2 linked regions of the Coturnix japonica genome follow. The protein of the gene in region 2 purifies or fractionates together with the protein of the main gene of each other region. This does not show direct contact. Links are inferred from orthologs where the notes say so. Each region holds a gene or a part of one and is shown on either strand. Other genes may lie near its edges. The genes, in order: CTNNB1 and CDH8.

Evidence for each region.
Region 1: the proteins of CDH8 (region 2) and CTNNB1 purify together in Homo sapiens (co-immunoprecipitation; 3 studies listed by BioGRID and IntAct, counting the BioPlex papers as one, with this or other methods). This does not show direct contact. The link is inferred for Coturnix japonica from reciprocal best matches to the Homo sapiens genes CDH8 and CTNNB1.

The regions. Positions count from the first base shown.
Region 1 is NC_029517.1:39,926,269-39,936,219, reverse strand, and holds the end of CTNNB1 (catenin beta-1), read right to left. Parts: coding exon 9,900-9,951; intron 9,636-9,899; coding exon 9,477-9,635; intron 8,642-9,476; coding exon 8,522-8,641; intron 8,382-8,521; coding exon 8,231-8,381; intron 8,136-8,230; coding exon 8,014-8,135; intron 6,990-8,013; coding exon 6,929-6,989; intron 6,214-6,928; coding exon 6,005-6,213; 3' UTR 5,993-6,004; intron 5,682-5,992; coding exon of another isoform or gene 5,665-5,681; 3' UTR 4,894-5,664; downstream 1-4,893. Other genes in the region: serine/threonine-protein kinase ULK4, read left to right, coding at 1,004-1,092, 3,676-3,760. UniProt on the Homo sapiens protein: Key downstream component of the canonical Wnt signaling pathway.
Region 2 is NC_029526.1:11,334,849-11,346,148, reverse strand, and holds part of CDH8 (cadherin-8), read right to left. Parts: intron 10,951-11,300; coding exon 10,763-10,950; intron 8,026-10,762; coding exon 7,772-8,025; intron 4,238-7,771; coding exon 4,101-4,237; intron 1-4,100. UniProt on the Homo sapiens protein: Cadherins are calcium-dependent cell adhesion proteins. They preferentially interact with themselves in a homophilic manner in connecting cells; cadherins may thus contribute to the sorting of heterogeneous cell types.

The sequences.
Region 1 (9,951 bases), on a different chromosome or scaffold from region 2:
ATGACCTCAGGAGAGTAAAAATGCCCAATAACATGTAATCAGAACTTACTAATGATTTATACTTAGGTAATGAGGTCACTGTTCTTTTTTTTTTTCCCCAACACGCGGGATAGATGTTAGTGTACTGCAGACAGATCCCTATTCCTGCTAACAACAGGATGTTCTGATTACAGCTGTAGCCTTTGAGAATCACTGCTGATAAATGGTGGGGGTGGCAGCTCTAAGTACAGCTTCTCAGGTAATTTAAGAGGGAGACTCAAAGACGTGTTGCTTGATCAATGGTAAATAGGACCAGCCATGGCATGCTAAGGCTTAAAAGTCCTTGCCAGATTTTGGGATTAGAATTTGCTGTTTCAGGCATTAACTCCTTCAGTATCAAAATAATCAGCTGCTCTGATCCTCTCCTTTTCCTTTCTGTTTGGCCCATGTTTACTTACCTTTGCAAGCAGGAACTGATGATGTTCTTGATACTGAAGGACATACAGGCTGGCTCATTCATAGCGTGCTCTGTAGGAGACAGCTCTATGCAGGCAATATTCATAATGAACGGTGAGCGGCAAGAAACAACTGAAATACAGCTGTTACCACTGCAGTGACTTTCAACCAGAGAAAATCCTACGTGTCCTGATGTTAAGACTGGTACAGGCTTGGCTGGTTTTTCCTCGGGTCCCCCTGGAATTCAGAATCAATGAGGTTTGTATTTGCAGTGGTCCTAAGAATGAAATCAGGGTCGGCAGACTGTGATGTGTGAACTCACACATATACAGGCGCTCAGAAAAAGAGCGGATTTTGTTAATTAAGCTGAGACATTTTGGACAGCCTGCGCCTAAACTTCAGCCTTGTTTGCTAAAAGGGACTTTTCTCTTGAGTCTCTTTAATGTCACATTCCATTTACAAGGGTAACAAATGCTGTAACTTGTTTCCTCCTTCCCTATCCCGCAGAAAATGACAGAGAGGAATTTCTTTCTCTGCCTTTGATAAGCCCTCTTTCTTTTCGTTCCAGATAACTTCAAACGAGAAGCACTCGGAGAGCCTGAAGAGTGATGGCGATGCTCTGCTCTGCACTCTGCAGAGCCTGGCCCAGCCCACCAGGTGCGTCCCCTCAGGCTTCGGGGGCTTTCAGGATGGGAGCTCTGCCTCCCGTCTGCCATGACTTCTCCCGGCATCGCCTCCTGCAGTAGAGGCCCCTCAGGTTTCCACCCTTGGCCCCTTCCATCAGGGCTCTGTGGCGGATCTGTGGCCCGCTTTGATCCCAGCTGTGGCTGCCCACAGTCAGCTGCACCGCCAGCCCGTGCTGGTGCACATCTGTCATGTTAAACTGGGTGGTTGTTGTGTTTTTTTTTTACTTTATTTCATTTCAAACAATCAGTCTCTTTTATAACCGGATACCGGTCCATGTTTCTTGGCACAGTGGGCGAGATGCACAATGTGGTAGTTGTGCCCTGTTTTAAAGTAACCAAACTGTGCGGTATGCTTGCAAGCTGATTTTTTTATTATTATTATTTTTTCTTCTAAATATGCAGCTAAAGAACAGAGATGCTTTTGTTTGCAAATACCTGTGGCTTCCCAGCAAAGGCACAAGGCTGCGGGCACTGCCAGGGCTTCCTCTGCAGGAACAGAGGTGCTGGTCCCAGCAGCTTGGGCAGGCCTCAGCTGCTCTCTGTTGGACTTTCCCTCACCTAATCCCCCCCTTGGGTATACAAAGGAATGAATTGCTGTTCTCTGCTGTTAGGCTGCATTTTGCTCCTGGTCAAAATAAGTCAGAGATTGTATTTTATAGAAACAGTCGGTCTGCGCAGTTCTCTTTGTGCTCCCAAACACAGACTGTGTGGGTTGCTGGGCTGACTCCTTGATGTCACCTTGCGCTGGGAGCAGGGACGTGAGTAGAGAGGAAATGATTGTGAAGTGGTGAGTGTGAGTTGCTGTGTGCTGGGACACACCAAGCCCATCCTGAACAGCCTGAGTCTCCCTCAGATGCTGACTCACGTTTTTTGTATGATATTGTAAATTATCCAACTAACATAAAAGGACAGCTCTCCCTAAGGGAGACACTGGCACTGCCACTGAAGATGACAGCGGTGTAACAGTGGGGAAGGAAGTTTTTTTTCTTGTTTTAGAACACGTTTTCCATCTCTTTCGTTGCATTTCAGCGCTAGATGCACTGCACAGCCCATCCACCAGCTGGCTCTGAGTCTGCCTCTCTGACTTCCTCTAATTGTTATCTATCTATCTGCACGTTTCTGTACTCAGAAAACCACATGCTATGGAGTCCAAAATAAGCAGCAGTCTCTCTTGTTTGACACAAGATGCTCAGGAGACCAAATTGTAGTGTTCTGGTATTATTAGGACAGATCAGGTTCCTCTGCCTGTAGCAGTGGCAGGAAGGCTCCCAGGAGCTCACGGATTTCTTTTTCCCTCCTGCCATTCTTTGAGGGGTGCACATCCTTGTCTATTCACCTGCTGAGGAGCCTGGGAGGGATCCAGCCTGCATCTTGGGGGGCTGTGATAGACTCCAGCAGCAACAAATGGCCTACAGAATAGACAGGAAAAGGTTGGCATGCTCAATCAACATTAGCCAACTGGCCATTTTGTATATGGACATTATGGATGCTAAGCCATGCCCTCAAACTCCCGCTCATGTGCCATCTTCCCTAGAGTATCCCCTGTCACCTACTCACTTCAGCCTGCTCTTCCCACCTGTGCTTTGAACCCTGGTAAGAAGCCTTTCTGAACTTCTTGCTGAGTTGGAAACACGAGCAGTCTGAACTCCCAGGCCCTGCCACCCACATACCATCACTAGGGCAGAGTGGGTGAGGCGTGTTTTTGCTTCGCTTGTTTTTCACAGACCGGTTTCTCCTCTTTCAGCGCAACGGAAGGAATACAACAAGCAAGCAGTGCCATTACAGGGCAGAGGCACAGCTGGGCAGCAAGCTGCTCTCGGTGCTCTCCCACCACCTTGTAGCAGCTGCCTCTTGCCAAACTCTCTGTTACGTATTCTTGGCTAGTCGGAACAGGCAGCCTTGGGGTTGGTATGTAACCAGCCCATCATGCTTAGTAGTGAGGTGGAATTCAACCTGAACTTTAAATGTGGGATCTTAGCAGTGCATTTCTCAGTTGCCAACATGTTTGTTTCAACTGAGTGTTCTGGTAAGAAACTGGTTTATGCTGTGTACCGATCACCAGGGTTTCATGGGCACGTATTGTGTTCCCCAGAAGATGAGGTGTCAGCGGGTGTTTGCCATTAGCAGCAACAAGGGAAGCTGCGAGCTGCCCTACTGCTGTTACTTCCTGAGTTAATCATGAAGGATGGCAGCCTGTTAAAAAAAACTGCTTGTTTCTGTATGGGAGAAAGCAGAAGCGGAGTCATTTTCCTGTCAAGCTGTGCGTAGGATCCATGGGGACAGGATAGATTTTATCTTTCTTCTCGTTCACGGAGGAGATTGAGCAAGGCAGCAGTTACTGCGAATTTAAACTGGAACTCATTTTTACACAAGACGTGCTGCAGGACAGAACCACTAGTTGTGTGTTCCTCCTGCTCAACAGGAAAATGGGGTTCAAGTTACTCAATGGGCGATGCTGAGAATTTCCCAGCATAGATAATGGCAAGTGTGGGATTTGAACAAGTTTTTCCCTTGCGAATACGTAAGAGCTTTCTGTCACTCTCTTTAATTCCAGCTGTCATGCTGATGTTGCTGTTGCATCCCTGGCATCTGAAATTCTGAGAACAGTAGCACGTGAAAATCCAAAGCCAACCAAGTGAACTGCGTCTGATCAGCCCACTGAAATACACAGCTGTGTGTGATGCTCAGAGCTGTCCTGAATCAACATCTTCACACAAGCAGAGCAGACCTAACTCACTCCGCCAGTGTCTGAGCACAGGCACAGCTTTGGCTTCTCCAGAAGGAACAGCCTTTTTTCAAGCTCTTTCTGGGTGAATTCTTGATTACTATTTTCACCTTGCTGGCATTGTGTGATGTAGCACAAGTACCTGATAGCCAGTGTGAGAAGTGTAAATAAAATAAACAGCTTAGTTGTTTCACTACTTTAAGGCGTCAGAAATGCTTGTGTATGTCTTGCTGATCAGCTGAAGGGCCTGGCTGGTCATTTTAAGGGGTTGTCTTACGCTTGGTGATGTGCATTAGACTATACCTCTTTACTAAAAATACTTTGCTGTGTGTGTGTGTGTACATGCCATGTCCATATGATAAAATCCAGCAGTAGTCCTCCAGAACTGGTAGATGCCATAGTGCATAAGAAATGAAATCCCCTTCATTGCCATATCCCTGGATGTTACTCAATGAGACATCAGCATAGCTGCAGTTTGTCTACTCCATAAGCAAAGGAGAGCACCCTTTTGTAGCTTGCTTCAGCTCTCATCTCCTTGGGATGCTACCAGGAGCTGTGATCCTTTATAGCTTTTTCCCCTTGTGATCTCATCTGCTCTGAGAGGCAGGATGAGCACTCTGGGCAGAGGCTGGTGACAGCTGCAGAGTGCAGATGTGCACAGTCTATAAATTATCCAGCAGTTGTTAACAGCATTACCTACTTCTATCTGCACAAGTGCTGTCTCTAGAGAAGGTGAGCTGCATGCAGGTCCTATCTCAGGCTGAGTTAAAGCTAGTGGAGCAGCTGAGCACTTATAAGTGAAGGACCTTCTCCTGCATGCTACACTAAGCATAGCTGCCTTGCTGAGGAACCTGAAAGGGGAAAAATACTGTGGGAGGAAGCCTCCATGATTCTAACCGTGATCTCCAAAGGACAGAGCAGCCGCCAGGTGGGATGGAGAAGGGGAGCAGTTCTTGGTTTCTGCCTTTGAAGTAGTGAAAGCATTGCACAATTTGAGAACAGGTTTTGGAGGACCTGTCAACACAGTCTGAAATAACTTGACACAGAGCGAATTAAAAGTTTACTTTAATCTTGAACCATTTTATAACTGCATTTTTTCTCATGAAGCATCTGTATCACAGCAGGCTACAATAACTTTGGGATAAAAGGCAACTGGTAAACTGTCCAATACAAGGTTCCAAATAAACAGTTCTTACTGGCCCCTACCCAGACATATCCCAGATAAAGTTTTTTGATCAAAAACATGAAATAGATCCACCTGCTTATTTTAAGCATATTAAAAAGGAAACTAATTGGACCATTTCTATTTGTCTAGTTTGTTTTTTTTATACAAAAAGGCTACACAATGTTACACTTTATTCAGAATACAGTTAGAGCGATTATGAATTAGTGTTCTACACCTTTACTCAATCCTTAAAAATTAGAAACTGCTGTAGCATATTCACTATAACTTAATACTACGAGAGACTTAAAAAAAAAAAACCTAACGACAATTACTGCGAAAAGAAAGGCTACTTTCAAAGCAAGCAAAGGTCAGTACCATTACAGAGATTTAAAAAAAATAATAAATTTTTAACAAGCAAGGCTAGGGTTTGATAAATTCCATCTTGCAATTCATTCTTGTGCATTCCTCGTTTCTTGAATCACTCCCAAAATCCATTTGTATTATTACTCCTCGACCAAAAAGGACCAGAACAAAAAGTTTACTTCAATTGTTCCCATAGGAAACTCAGCTTGGTTAGTGTGTCAGGCACTTTCTGAGATACTAGCCCACCCCTCGAGCCCTCTCAGCAACTCTACAGGCCAATCAATGCAAGTTCATTCAGATGATACAGCTGCAAAAAAGGAAAACAGAAAAATAATGTCAGTGTTCCTCAGTAAAAGTTACTTCAACATAAAGACTGCACAAAGCTGGTGATGCACAAGACGTTACAGTTAATTACTTCCATACCTCACGGCAGAAAATCATACACTCCTACAATCCAAACTGATGCGTGTCTCCAGAGCATTTTTTCCCCTCCCCCTCAGTATTCTGTCACACTGGGACCCATTTAAGCCATTCCCTCCCTGCCAACCAAGTCCTGAGTCCAGTAATTTGTTTCTCTCTTTTTGTTTTGTTTTTAAATTCACAATTGGAGCTTCTTACCTAAAGGATGATTTACAGGTCAGTATCGAACCAGGCCAACTGATTACTGTCACCTGGAGGCAGCCCATCCATAAGGTCCTGGGCATGGCCAAGATCTGGCAGACCATCAACTGGGTAGTCAGCACCAGGGTGGTGGCCACCCATTTCATGTTCCATCATAGGGTCCATACCCAAGGCATCCTGACCGTATCCGCCAGAGTGGAAAGAACGGTAGCTAGGATCTAAGAAAGTTAAAAGGTGGCAGAGGGAAAAAGAGCATAATGTTAACAGATGTTAGATGCATCAGAAGCTGCAAGTATCAGTGTGTGAGAAGATTGTTGTAGCCATCTAATTGTTTTTCTAGTTCAGCCAAGTTCCAAATGATCTGCTGCCTGCCCTTAATGGCTATTCCATCATTTGAAACAGCCTTCCAGTGTGATTCTGCAGACAAAGCAACTGCAGTCAGAAGCACGAGCAGATTCCAGCCAAGCCATTAGTCTGCACAATCAACAGTACTAAAATTCAACAATACTACAGCAAAACCAGGCTACAAGGCTGCAGACTCAGAACCCATAGCAATAGACTTAAGTCTACTGGCACTTAAAGACTAATATATATACCATACCAACATTTGTTTTAAAGAAAAACTGCACTTCTGGAATTGTCAAGTCCATCTGTAAAGGATTTAAAAGATTTCTGGAAACAGCAGCTCAGTGGGAGATTCTCTTGCAAGACTCAGACAAGCGACACCAATTTTGCACATTCATATGGCTCCCATTTCAGTGCAGCCAGAGGTGTTGCAGAAACTGCTTATTTGAACTGGCAGTTCCCCATCTGCCTGTCAGTTTGCAATATCTTGCTGAGGAGTAATTTACTCTTCAGCCATTTGCAGTTCTCCTTTACAGTCAATGACTTGACTTATATTAAGCTTAGTCAAGGGGAATGGAACAGACATACCATCTGGGCGGTATCCAAGAGGTTCTCCCTGGGCACCAATGTCAAGTCCAAGATCCGCTGTCTAGATGTGCACAAAAAGATACAGAACAGTTTTCACATCAGGTCTTAGGGCCAACATTAATAATTGAATTTAAGAAATTCTAAAGCTTGCCATAAATCCTTTTTCTTTTTAACCAACTCTTCTGCACTGTATTTCAAAAAGATACACCATTTTTGCTATGTTTTCTCATGTTAACATGTTAGATGGATACAGACTTCAGGAAATCAGAGGTGAACACTGAAATACTACAAACCAAAGGCTACTACATATTATTAAGGTAAGACTGTTAAGTAAGTATATGGGGAAAGACAGATTTAGTGAAACATTCCCCAATGGCAGTTTTCAGTCTCAATTCACTGTGCTGGCCTTTAAGCATGAAAAAATTTCATGTAATAGCTTGCAAATACTTCCAAGTCTGAGAGCTCAATTCTCAATTAATGAGAACATAAAAGTGGCATACCCACACCAAGCTTCTTAGTCCTACAGAGTTTGCTAAATAAGAGTCCTTAGAGGAGTGTTATGGTTATGCTTGTATCCTATCATCAGTTCATCAGGTTTGGACAACCTGCAAGAACTGGTTGAAATTCCTAAAGATTACTGCTGAGCTGTCCTTTCAAATGAGAAGCAGCACAGAGACCTACAGAGTTCTTACACACAGAGCAAAATGAGACTTAAACTTTAGACTCTTTGTATCTGAAAAGAAAGCACTAAAGCAGCAGCTCTAAGGCTACTCGCTCATTATTCTACTTGAGCAAGTCTGTAGTTCTAGAGAGGTTTCTTGCCCTATGTAATGAATTCCCAAAACTGTCAGTTTCACCTGTTTAGATATAAACTTCTGCCCTAGGACAAGAGTATACATTTGAAGCTTGCACCATTTTCTACAAACCTACAAGCTGAACATGAACATGTAAAGAGTAAGGAAGCTACAGACATGTGTAAAACTGAATCCATATCACTGATGGCATCTACACTTCACTACTGGAAGGAAGAGGGACTTGAAAGTAAAGTCTCCCCAAGTTACCATTCACACAAGGACACAACTCACCTCGTTCCAAGCCATTGGCTCAGTCCGGAACAGAGAGCTTGTCAGTTCAACTGAAAGTCGCTTCTTGTAGTCTTGTGGTTTGTCCTCAGACATTCTGAACAGCACTGCAGCTGCATATGTTGCTATTAAAAAAGTAAAGTGAATTTAGTCAACATCAATTCTTTTGATGTTTGATACTTTTCCAGTAAGTATGAAACTTAATTTTAAGTTCACTTACCAACACCCTCATTCCTAGAATGGAGTAGTTCTGTTAAAGGGGCAGTTGCACCTTCAGCTTCAATTGCTTCAGCTGCTTCCTTGTCTTGAGCAAGTTCACAAAGTACACCCGCAGCTACTCTCTGGATATTCTCAATGGGGGAGTACAACAACTGCAATCATAACAAGGGTTTCTTTTAACTCTTCTGCTTGAAAAGAACTTTAGTACAATGCAAATTAACAGTTCTACCAACAAGGCATTGGGGAAGTTATACTAGTATGTACTACAGCATTTTCTTGAGCTCCAGCTTACCTGCACAAATAGTGGAATGGTATTTAGACCCCTGATAACAATTCGATTGTGAACATCACGTGCAAGAATATGCAGAGCTCCAGTGCAGCCCTCTACGATTTCCTCCATGCGCACACCCTCCTACAGTCAGGGAAAGAAAAGGCACTTCAGCTGAAATATTGAACATTATCTCCTAAAACAACTGTCAAAGAGCTGATCATTATCAAAGAATCGGTCAGTCTCCTGCGCACACATCCCTCCCCCAGTTGCCTCAATACCCACTGCCTATTGCTGGCCTTCAAACTAAACCGTCCCTGCTAAGTCCTGGCCTAGTTTATCCAGATAAATTCTGGAAGTGAATCACCTCAGTGGAACATCTCCCTGTGCTCTCTTTTTTTTTTTCCAGTTCATTATAAACTTAACATCTGACAACACTGTTGTTTTTTCCCCAAGCTGAATTAGCTTGGCTGTTTACTAAGTTCAAAAGTGCTAATCAGTGATGAAGAGGCTCTGACTGGCTTGCCTTTGCAAGTATTAACTACAGTCCTGTACTGGTAGGTATTGCTTCCATTTGCCTATGCTAATGTAACTTCCCCTTCGTCAGCACGTTTAACAGGTGGAGGGAAAAATCAAGACTGATTCTGCCACACTAACCAGGTATGTTAATTATGGAGCCTGGACAATTTCTCTGTACTCATACAGCTGTAAGCATGAAAAAATACACATTAAGCTGTGACAACATTCCAAAACCCATAGTTCCAACAAGGATGGAACTTCCTCATAAAGAACTACTCATTGCCAGGGTAGGTGAAACCAGTACTTCTACTAACTGTAGCATTCAGAAACATTTTAGATCTGCCAAGGCAGAATGATTAGCATAATCAGCATACTACCAGATTGTGCAGACTAATATAAACCAGAGCAAATGTTAAAACAATAGCTATTTAGGTAATTGTAGCTCCTAGTGGCCACTTACCACAAACTGCTGTTGCGTTCCACCCATGGAAGTACGTCGCTGGGTATCTTGATGTGCTCTAACCAGCAGCTGAACTAGCCGTGGGATGGCACCTTGTTCACGCAGTGGGGCATGGTTTGCAGGGCAGAGCGCAAGATTGCGAATCAATCCAACAGTAGCCTGCAGTTCAGAAAGGAGGTGAGGAATAAGAGAGCATAAGGGGTGTGTTTGCTATTTAGCACTGTGTATGTTTGTTATTAAATCAGTCAGTCCCAAACAGTTGGATCTCTGTAAGAAACAACTTGAAAGTTGCTCATTTGAAGTAGCCTCTCCATCAAGAGAGTTACATTCTCCAATGCCTTGGAAACACAGTATTTTCCTCAGGTAATATTATATTTAAAAAGCACTGGTTTTCAGCACTGACAGACATCAGCCATAATTTACCTTAATCAAAGGCCAGTGTGAGGGTGGGTGCAACAGTTTAACCACCACTGGG
Region 2 (11,300 bases):
TCACCTCTCACATCCACAGACCAAAAAGTATGTTCTGAGGGAGAGTCATTTTGCAAATGAGTCTGCTTCACAGAGGCTGTGATCTCTTAGACACTCACACTCCAGTTCAGCAGAGTAAACTTGGCTGCATGTGAACGTAGAAAGAATATTTAAGAATCAATTCAGAGGTTTAATAATTTCCAGAATCTCTCTTGCCATAAGCATTAGTTTGTGGATTTCTTCAGTAAATTCTAAGCTGTATTTCAGAGTGATTTTTCAAAGACATCAAGGGGCTTTTAACATTTCTTACCAATCCTTGTGGTACAATTCATCAGTACAATGGCATCACTACGTAAGCATTAACTTTCATTAAATATGGAGATCAGTGAAGAGTGGTGCCCCTCAGGGTTGAGTACTGTGGCCAGTGCTCTTTAATATCATCATCAATGATATCATCAGGGGGTGAAGTACAAAAAAAAAAACCAACCATGGCCAGTAGGTCAAGGGAGGTGCTCCTGTCCTCTGCTTTGCACTCATGTGACCTCACCTGGAGTACTGTGTCCAGCTGTGTTGTCCTCAGGAGACACATGGATCTGCTGGAGTACATCCAGAGGAAGGCCACAAAAATGATCCAAGGGCTGGAACACCTTTACAAGGGCAGACTGAAAGAGCTAAGGCTATTCAGCATAGAGAAAGCTCTGGGGAAACCTGATAGTGGCCTTTCATTATATAAATGAAGGCTATAAGAAAGAAGGGGATAGACTATTTAGCAGGGACTGTTGTAATAGGACATAGGGAAATGGTTTCAACCTAAAACAGGGGAGTTTTATACTGGTTATAAGGAAAAGATTAGTATGAGGGTAATGAGGCACTGGCAAAGGTTGCCCAGACAGATGATGGATGCACAAGGTCAGGCTGGATGGGGCACCGAGCACCTGATGGAGCTGTAGTGTCCCTGTTTATTGCAGGGGAATTGGACTAGATGACATTTAAAGGTCCCTTCATACTCAAATGATTCTATGATTCTATACAATGAAAGCAATTAGAAACCACTTCACAGAGGCTAGGAGTCTTTCAGTGATTGGAAAGTGAAAGCAGGGAAATGCCACCCTCCAAAATGTATCACTTTGAATAGGTCTCAGAATATGAAGGTAATACTATAAGTGACTCCAAGAGCACAAATATATTTGAATTAGAGCTAGAATGTTCCTGTGAGTAGGAAACATTCTTCTTGTAAATGAAAATAAACTAAATCACTTTTTAGTCTGCTAAGTACTTACATTGAAAAGTCCCAATTAGCTCATGCTTTCATGTTTCTGCTCCTAGTTTTGCTAGACAAGGAAGGTTTAGCTTACCTTCTGAGCACTCAGAAAGATTAAAATCAAGTAGCATGTAAAATTATCTGAATCTGAATCTCTCCATCCTCAAGCTAAGTGAAAATACAGAAGTTATCTCAGTCAACTCAGTCCAATCTTACCCAGAAAGATTCCAATTCAGGACAGTGGTTGAGGGTTGATACAAAAGAATAACTCTGTAATGGTGACAGCAGAAAACTTCAAGGATCTTTCTTCCACTTAAGGCAGAAATAAAGGTGCAGGCAATGTACCAGCAGAAAGTTCCGAAAAAGTGATTTAAGTTGTGGCAAAACTTGGTGTCTATGAAAGTATTGATAAATCAGGATGTATTCCACCGTGTTGGCAATCATGATGAAGAAATATATCACTACTTATGATTGGTAAGCAGCTGTGATGGCAGTGAAATGGCCCAATCATTGCCCATATAAATACAGGTGAGCCCTGAACTGAATCTGGACAGCAGCTTGGTTAGGAAGAGAAAATGTTCCTGTATGAATGATAGCAATATATTTATTTTTATGGAAGAGGTAAGCAGTACATTAATGTTACACTCAGTAAAAGCACAGAGATTGCACAGTTTGCATTTTCATTTTCTGCTTGTATCTGCCTTAAACTGATTTCTGCTATTTTATAACAGAGATCTTGCTTATTACTGTGTTGTAAAAAAACATGAAAATGACCATTTTACCCTGCTTGACAATTGTATGAACATATTTAGTTTCTGCATTAGTAGTATATAATATCATCTCTTAAAGAAGCAGTCATAGCAGGCTATGAAATTCAGCTCTTGTTTTATGTAAATGTCAGATAATCATGTTAGGAATATCAAAACAAAACCAATACAACAATAAAAACCTAATTCAATCAATCCAGTCACAAGAAGGAACTTGAACGTTAAGCACTAGATTGGCATTATTATTTTCATGGTCAGTCTGAAAAGAAGCAATTTTACAACACTGATAGGGGCTGAGGCCCCCACAAAGTTTAATGATAAGGCTGATTTCTTACATAATTCTTAAATACAATCACATTTTTAAAATTTGAAGGAGGAACAGGCAGAATTGATTCTGATCTGGCTTAGAAAAGTGGAATTCTGTTAGCTTTGTTCTGATACACACATATATAAGGCAGGTCAAAGAAGAGAACTGGATTAGTTTCTTGAAAAATTCTTTTCATTTTTTCCTTCTTAGACTCCCAGAAGCAAATAAAATGTAGAATTACTTCACTTTACATCTTTTGATGTCTCAAAAGATTTGAATCACAGACCAATAATTCTCTTGATGCTATTGGTACGTCCTACAATCTGACATTGCTCAAGTCTTGAGAAAATTGGTATGGAGATTTTTCTACCTTTCTCGTTTAAAACCAGCTGAATTATTAAGTGGCTTGATATCAACTTGGCAATTGTTAAACTGCTAGTTGTAAAACACTGGAGCTTTCTTTCTTTATGCTATTAGATTTACTGCCTTGCCTTGGCTTTCCTGCCAGTCTTGTCACAAATTTATCAAGGTAGTGCTTACATTTAATAGTAATTATTGGGGCACTGTTTGTAATATTGCACTAATTAGCAATGAAATGCACAGATTATTAAGGTAGAACACAGTTTACAGAGGTTATAAATGGAGAGCTTCTTTTATATTCAGACATATCTTTCTCATATATGCATGCATTTCAGTTATCCCTCACTGATTCCTAATATGTTTGTATTTAAAAGCAAGTACCAGAGAAAAGTATTGGAAAATTAATCATCCAGTATGGGCCAAGTAACCACCTTTTATTCTGCTATTCATTCACACATGCATAGGTACAGCACTGTGATACTGAGCACCAAAAGTTTTGGATAATAACACTATATACTCAAAAAACTATACTCTGTTTGAAAAGAAAGCATCAAAATCATCTTGTTTTCTATATGCAAGAATTAGCACCAGAGTTCATCAAGCTCTAAAGACAAATTTCTTACAACAATGTGTCAAGTGTGCATGTACTTATGGGAATTATGCATTTATATATATTGATTGCTGAATAGATACTTAAGCAGAAATATTTTCTTATTTATGTTTCAGATAGATGAAAGACCTACTTCCAGAATCTGTTTTTTGCTGCACTATGACTGCCAAAATTATAGTCTAAAATATAGAACTAATATTAATAATAAATTATGTTGGCTCATCAGATCCAGCCAACAGCACAAATTAATCAAGAACTCTTCTTGAATAGAAATCTAGGACCCACATTCTGTGGCAGGGTGACCTGGCTTGGGCATACTCACTAGTCTCAACATTGTGTGTTCTTGTCTATGACTGTGTATGAGTAAATTTATTCATAGGCATCAAAGAGAGCTACTTTCATTCACTATTACCCACGTGCTTAGTCATTCACTGTATTGAAACAAAATATTTTCAGTGTAAAGAATCTCTGGGTTGAGTCTACTCTCTTCTTCCACAGTAGCAAACCTTTATTTCTTCTGTCTTCTAATAACTCACTGTGATGTGTTTTCCTCACTTACCCTATAAAACCTCTACAAATGTCATCATGTATCTCTTCAAACTCTATGTGGTTTTTCATTGAAACAGCAGTTTGGAAGAGTAAAAGAAATGGAACTTCAGCAAAAATTAAGTTTTCTTAAAAAAAAAAAAGAAAAAAAGAATTGCACTTAAAAATTCAGTGTTTCATTTTTTAGTGTTGTATATTGTTCCCACTACACACATTATTAGAAGTAATGGGAATAAAACCAACAGAACTTCAGAATACACAAATACTTACTAGTCTCAGTAGCTACAATGGTTATATTGTGCCACGTATTTGTTTCTCTGTCGAGTGGTGTTGCCAAAGTTATTTTTCCATCTTCTGCATTAATGTTGAACTGTCTCTCAAGGTCAGTATGACGATCAATGGAAAACCTGCAAAACAGACATCCCTGTAATCTACTTAATGAAGTTAATGAATCCATACAATCACAATACATTTTATGGAGCCCCCTGAGATCTGCAGTTTTATAGCCAAATGGATAGAGAAGTTCAAGAGAATAATAATTTATAAGACAATATGACAAACTTAGACTAAAAAAAATTATTAATTATTGCCCAAGGAGTGATTAGCTGTATAGAACCAGTATGCAGGTCATAAAATCCCCTCAGGTTCAATAGGTAACATCTTTGAAATACAGTGTTGATCAAGAGTTAATTACATAATCCATCACATTTATTAGACGGTTTCCATGGCATTTCACAGTAACTCCCGATAATTTCAAGTGTAATGCATTAAGCACACAAAAATGGTGGACTTCATGGTTACTTTTGAAAAGTTTGAATAATATTATTTTAATAATAAACTTCAGATTAATGATGTGAGAACTATTCACCATAGCAATTATTTGGTTACAAATCAAGTGGGTCCATGGGCAGAAATCAGTTAGTAAATCACTGCTCATCTGTAAAACACTTCAAATACTGAAGGAATGATTGTTTTATAGATTGGCATCTCTGATTTTTAAGAAAACAAGTTTGATCTGACAGGTAGTCAGAGTTTGTATGTAAATTCCCAGGTAAATTATGCAGCTGAAAAAGGGCCGAATAATGTTACATTGAGATGTCTTTCCAATGCACTTGGTTAAATACAACTCACTTTCAAAAATTAGTTTGAAGTTATAGTGTAAGTGTTTAAAGATTGTGCTTATTAGCAAGGCTAGCACTACCACACTGGTAAGGTGTGATAGGACTTAAGAATGAAACCCTCATCTAACTAGGAAGTGTGATTTGCAACACACTGAAGTTTTCTGCTTTTAAACTCTCAGAAGAACAAATTTTACTCATAAAATTTAAGTGTTTTATTAAAAAAAAAGTATGATAAAAATATGAAGTCTAATTTGAAGTGTATGTGCCTAAAGCTGGGCACACACAGATTTGGACATTTGAGTAAACTGATTTTCTAGTCAACTTCACATATTCAGTACTCAACAGTTTAATACAAACTGTGCCATTCTCAGCAGTTCTGAAAATGAGGTCACTTCTGTGGAGGAATAAACTGCAGGTGCCTATCCTTAGGCAAACTTACTCGAAGACATATCTTAACCTTACTTTAATGTCTCATTAGGTCCCATTTGAGTATTACAAGTGAAAACTGTGATACTAGTAAAGTTAGTACAAAATATCATACAGAATTATATGTTCAAACTTACAAGTCTAAAATTTCATTCAAGAAAATTAGACAAATACATCATTTGAGATAATTATTTTTAAGTTCTCATTACTTAAACTTAATCTTTTAGTTCTTGCAGTTTATGTAAGGCTGCAGGAATGACTATCACAACAGCTCTGGTACCAAACTTTTATGAAATTCTTCCATTCCATAAATGAAAAAAAACTTGAAGTGTTTATATGAGATTTAGTTGACCTGGGCTTGACGTAAATTCCATTGGGATAAGACACATTTTTTCTCCAAGAATCAATGCCTTTTTAAACTTTCATTTACAGTCTTCCTGCAGTACATTTTCTGAGGTTACAAGAAGTGTGAGCAGAAGATCTGCGAGTTTGTTATATTGCACATCCCAACAGTATTTATTCACATTGTAAAAAACAGCACTCAAATAGAAACTTTTGTAACATCAGTTACTCAGGTTTACGAGACCACAAATGGGTAAAACCCTCTCCTGATTTCAATTTGATAAACATTCTGTACAAAATAAAATAAAATTAAAAATCTGCCAAGTCATAAATGTGGGAAAACTAATAATACATTTGCAGTTTCCTTTCCATGCTTATTGTACTATAACTCTTTTTAATGGAAGTGTATTGTCAGATCCATAAGCTAAACATAAAATGTACATTTCTCTAAAAATGAGAGAATATCCTGGGAAATAATATCTGCTTTCAAATTGCCATAAAACCAGCACAAGTTATTGAGAAGTTTCAGTTAGATTATGGATCCGGTGTGGCAATTATAGGAACAACTCCAAAGTGGTTTAACTTAAAGTGATTCGTAGTCCTTCTGCATTATTAATACTGCTGTTATGACTTAGTTTGGTCTATTCTTTATTTGCACAAATGTAAATAGGAAAAGAAACTATTTTTTGCTGCACATACTGAGATTCAAATCAGAAGTCTGATACCCTATCAGTGTTTAATCACAACTGTTAGTTAATGACAGGCAGACAGGACATGCTACTTAGTGACAGATAAATGGCTGCACCGTTAGGGAGGCAGAAATATTGAATCCATGTTTTTAAGGACTGCTGTGAATTAAGAAAATGATCCACTACTGCCAAAGATGAAATCTCTTCCAATATGAATGGGGAAAACCTGCCACTGTGAAGCTTATCTCTCCACAGAGAAAGACACTGAAAGGCAGTGATTTATAGGAGGGCAGAGACAGTATAGGAAGAAAGATTATTACTCATGCTTTATGCTATGCACTTGGATCAAGCTTTATCCAAGATAATTTACTGCAGATAAAAAGACCATGGTTGTAAAATAACAACAGAAACATGAAATAAGCACTTCTGGAATCAGTAGATCTGTATGCTAATAGATGATAAACTTCCAAGCGTTATTACACAATAAGCCAGAATTTACCACCCTTACTAAACAACAGCAAAGCTCTGCAAGTAGCTCAGCTGAATTCACTGTGTCCCTTTCCCAAGAGAGATGCTGGTAGTTCTATATTTGGTAAGAGGTGATCCTGGAGCACACAACACCACATGCTTCTGAAATGCATATGCTGGAATAAGTCTACTAACCAATTATTAACCACATTTGTACACCTTTTTTTTTTCCTCCAAATCTACTTTAAATATGATGCTTTGGTGTTTGGTTTCATAATGCATTTAGCAGTACTCTGCATAGAAGTAAAATATGGTTTGGTTACAGTCACATCACTGTTTAACCAAACCGTAAGGGCAAACTTGGGAGGGCAAACTTTATCATGGAAATGAGACACTGGTTTGATGAAACTGGAATAATATATTTTGTTCAAGTTAGGTCAAAAAAGGGAAATACCACAAACTGAAGATGTAAAAGTCATATGATTTCTGATTTCCTCTAACAAAACCAGAGAAGAGTTTAGTCGAATGAATACTGGATATGGTTTTACAGTCTTACATCTGCAAGGAAAAAACTCAGTATTGTTAGCGTAGAAACTAGGAGGTTATTTAAAATAAACACATTGAAAATCCGACCTATCAGACCTCTTACCTCTTATTTCTTAATTACATTGCATTCCTACTGTTTGATAAAGTTATTTGTGAAGAAAGAAGTATTTTAGTGATTTTGAAAATGATACAAACTGATAAGTCTAACTTCATGAGGCGATAAAATCCTATACAAGTATTTTATAGAACAAAAACAGAGGGAGAACAGCGTCATAAATACAGTGTATAGAAAAATATACTTAATATTCTGCCGGCAGTTTTTTCTGTGAGAACTTTAGAGCAGCACTACCTTATAGGACTGGAAGACACATCAGGGTCATGGGCTGTCACTTGGCCAATCACAGAGTTAATAGCAGCATTTTCATGCACTTCCAGTAGGTATGTAGGTGATGAAAAGACTGGTGGCTCATCAGCATCCTCTACTACAATTTTTACTGTTGCTGTATCCTTGAAAGGTCCTCCACTGATGAAGCGAGGATCAATATGAATGTTGGCTGCTTCTACCTTCAGAGTATAGGATTTTTTGGTCTCAAAGTCCAGAGGCTGTTAAGAATGACAAAGATAAATGTCTTTTACTAATGGCCACAGAGAAAGAGCAAATTAATATAATGCTGATGGATGAAAGTTATGTGCATTTAAGCACATTCAGTGAGTTTGTATGCAAGCACTTCCCACTCCCAGAAATTCAACCTGCAAATTTTCTTGGCATATATTGATATATGTTTATTAACCAGCCTCAAAGGAAACAAGAGACTGTTTTCTTGCTTTTCACAATAAATTTACCACAATACTCTCTTTCATGAATGATACAACTACAATTACATTCCAGATAAATAGAGCAAATTTGTTGGTGGTGATGTGACTTGCATAATAATTGTGCCTTTAATCAGTGCTTTGTTAGTTGGAGATAAGAAAATAGGGTATACAGGATATAATCTCAGTGAGGAATAAATATTTAATTATTTCCAGAACTACACGAGAAATGCAAATATCTAGCAGTTATTTGTTGGACATGATGAAATTATGCATCAAATGGAAAAGCTAATCATATAAGAATGTATTTCAGTATTATTGCACTTCAGATAACTCCACATTTCTGTTTACAGGGGTAAATGAGGCAGACATCTCTCAGGAATTTCTTCCAACTGTAGCAATTCCTATTTCTTTATCTTACATTTTTTTCAAAGGCAGAAACATAGAACTGATTACTTTGTTCTACCAATATACCTGCCATGTCACCACTGTTTTTACTATTTTACAGCTACATATTAAAACACAGAGGATGAAAACACAGTGGATTTAAAGAAACGAGATACCAAATAAAAACCAAATCTGCAACAGTCCTGAATTATAGAAGTTTTCATTATAGGAGATTCAAGTTGGTATCTTGAAGCACACCAGTATATTCAGTATATAATTCTCTTGTGCCTCACAATGATTCAAGTTTCAAAGATGCAAATTGCCAAGCACTGGAAAGATATTAAGATTTGCATTACAATGTCCCAGGGATAGAAAGAAAAAGACATAGAAACTCTGAATCTGCAATGCAAATATCAGCAAGAACACAAATAGGAATAGCAAATCTCTTTCTGTCGAAGCATTAAATATGTGTACTTTTGAATTTTGTTGATTTTTATTTTATTTTTTTCCAGGTATGAATCAAGGTCTAATGGGATTTGCTTTTTCTCAGAACCTCTAGTAAACATGAGAAAACCATGCTTCTTCAGTAGGTCTTAAATTAGCAAGCTTTAATACTTATGAATTGTGATTTATAAATCAGCATATTCACAATTTGCCAATCATAGCTCTTGTATCATTTCTTTAATTGCATTTCACGTGCGCCTAAATGCATGTAGCCATTCTTAATCAGGCTATCATATTGAAAATTTAGTCTGAATTGTCTAAAACCCACAAATTTGTGCTGGAGAAATTCTATTGGTGAATAGTACCCTACATATATCACCTGCTGCAGTAGAACCAAAATGATAATTGCTGTCAAAACGAATATATGAAACAACATTATCTGAGAGACTCTGCATAAAATAAAGTCTGGGGAACTGGAGCAAAAGGTTAATTGCTTTAGTTTACAAAGGAGGCCACAACATACAATAAATCACAATAAGGAAGATCAGGGATGTATATCATGATTTACTCTTTTGAAAATAGATCTAAATTTAGATAGATATACACCATTTTATTATTCTTGTAGGGTGCTAACCTCCTCACTGAGAAACAGAAAACATAAAATTCTGACAGCTCTTCTGTCTGACCTCTTTAATCACAGATAAAACTTTAATATTCATTAGTGGTACTCATTGGATTCCTCTTTTTTTTTTTTTTTTTTTTCATTGGAATGTCATGTTTTCTTTTTCACTTGTTTTTATTTATTTAAAACAAGGAATCATTTACAGTCCTTTACACTACATGTTTTAAACCCTCCATACCAGCATTATGAGTTATACTCAAATCGTTCCTTAGAACACAGCATGAGTAACTGCCCTCCTCTCCAACACCAGAAAATAAGAAAAATCAATCCTGCAATTACTGTATCATTGACTTTACTGGCCACACTGTGTTCTAGATTTGCTGCATCCCACAGTATTTATGTATACAATTGCATGCCCCTTTGGTTCTGTACACATAAATACCACATCTCAAGTACATCAAGACTGTGTAAGCACAGAAAAAAAAGACAGAGATGTAGTTTTTCCTTGGGCCGAAATTTGACAGTTCTCATTTTAAACTTGATAAAGTTCACTGAAATCACTATTCCTTGAGCAAATAGAGTTCAACAAGATAAAAGTTGGAAGACTGAGCCTATTATACATCAGGCAATTTAAATAATTAGGTACAATACTTTTTTTTTTTCCCTCTAAGCAGTATTTGACCAGCAATACAGGAAGTGAAATGAGTGAGAGAAGCATTTGATGAGTACTCATCAAATTTTAGGATTTTAGGAAAATCTACATCGCCAACAAAGCAAATTCTGATCTACTCTTCCCTTTAAGAATCCAGGAAGAAAAACAGTATCATTAAAGCACATGAAGCAGTGTCTGGACTCAGGAAGCCTGAAGCAGATTAAGTCATGCCCAGAACAAAAAATGCTGCCATGGAAATCTTCCCAACTGCCACCTATATGGCAGCTCTGATGGACATTGCTTATACAGCTGTACTTTTATCAGTGTGGTTTGACATCTCATTCATACATAAAAGAATGCTTGGAAATCCAGCATGTTCACACAGTCTTAGAATAAGGTTTTATATAAGAGATCCAGTTTACCTTTCTCACTCTAATAACGCCGTCCTGAGTTTGGGCATCTGTAGTGATTTCAAATATATCCATTCCATCTCCTTCAATAATATCATATGATGATTTAGCATTTTCTCCAATATCCAGGTCATTTGCTTTCACCCTTCCTATGGGTTCACCAAGAGCAACATCTTCCATGACTGAGAAGTGATACAGACCTTAAGAATAAGAGGAAAAGACTAAACATTACATCTGATCGCAGTATCTCTTGTGTGCTCTTCATTTGTTTATACTTCCCCAATACAAACTCCTGAGATGTGCAAATGATACAAATCATATTTACAGGAGTTATTTACTGAAAGCAGCAAAACGTGTTTCTTTCATAGGAATATTCAGTTTACTGCACATGAATGTTCTTTTCATTATAGTTGCATTCCGCCTCCTGCTTGCTCACTCACATAAATATTCAGCTAAATTCAACACCACAAATATGTCATATGTCATCTATTGCTGAACTTGCCTTTTTATTTACAGACTTGCCCCTATGTTTTTGATGGAATTCAAATCA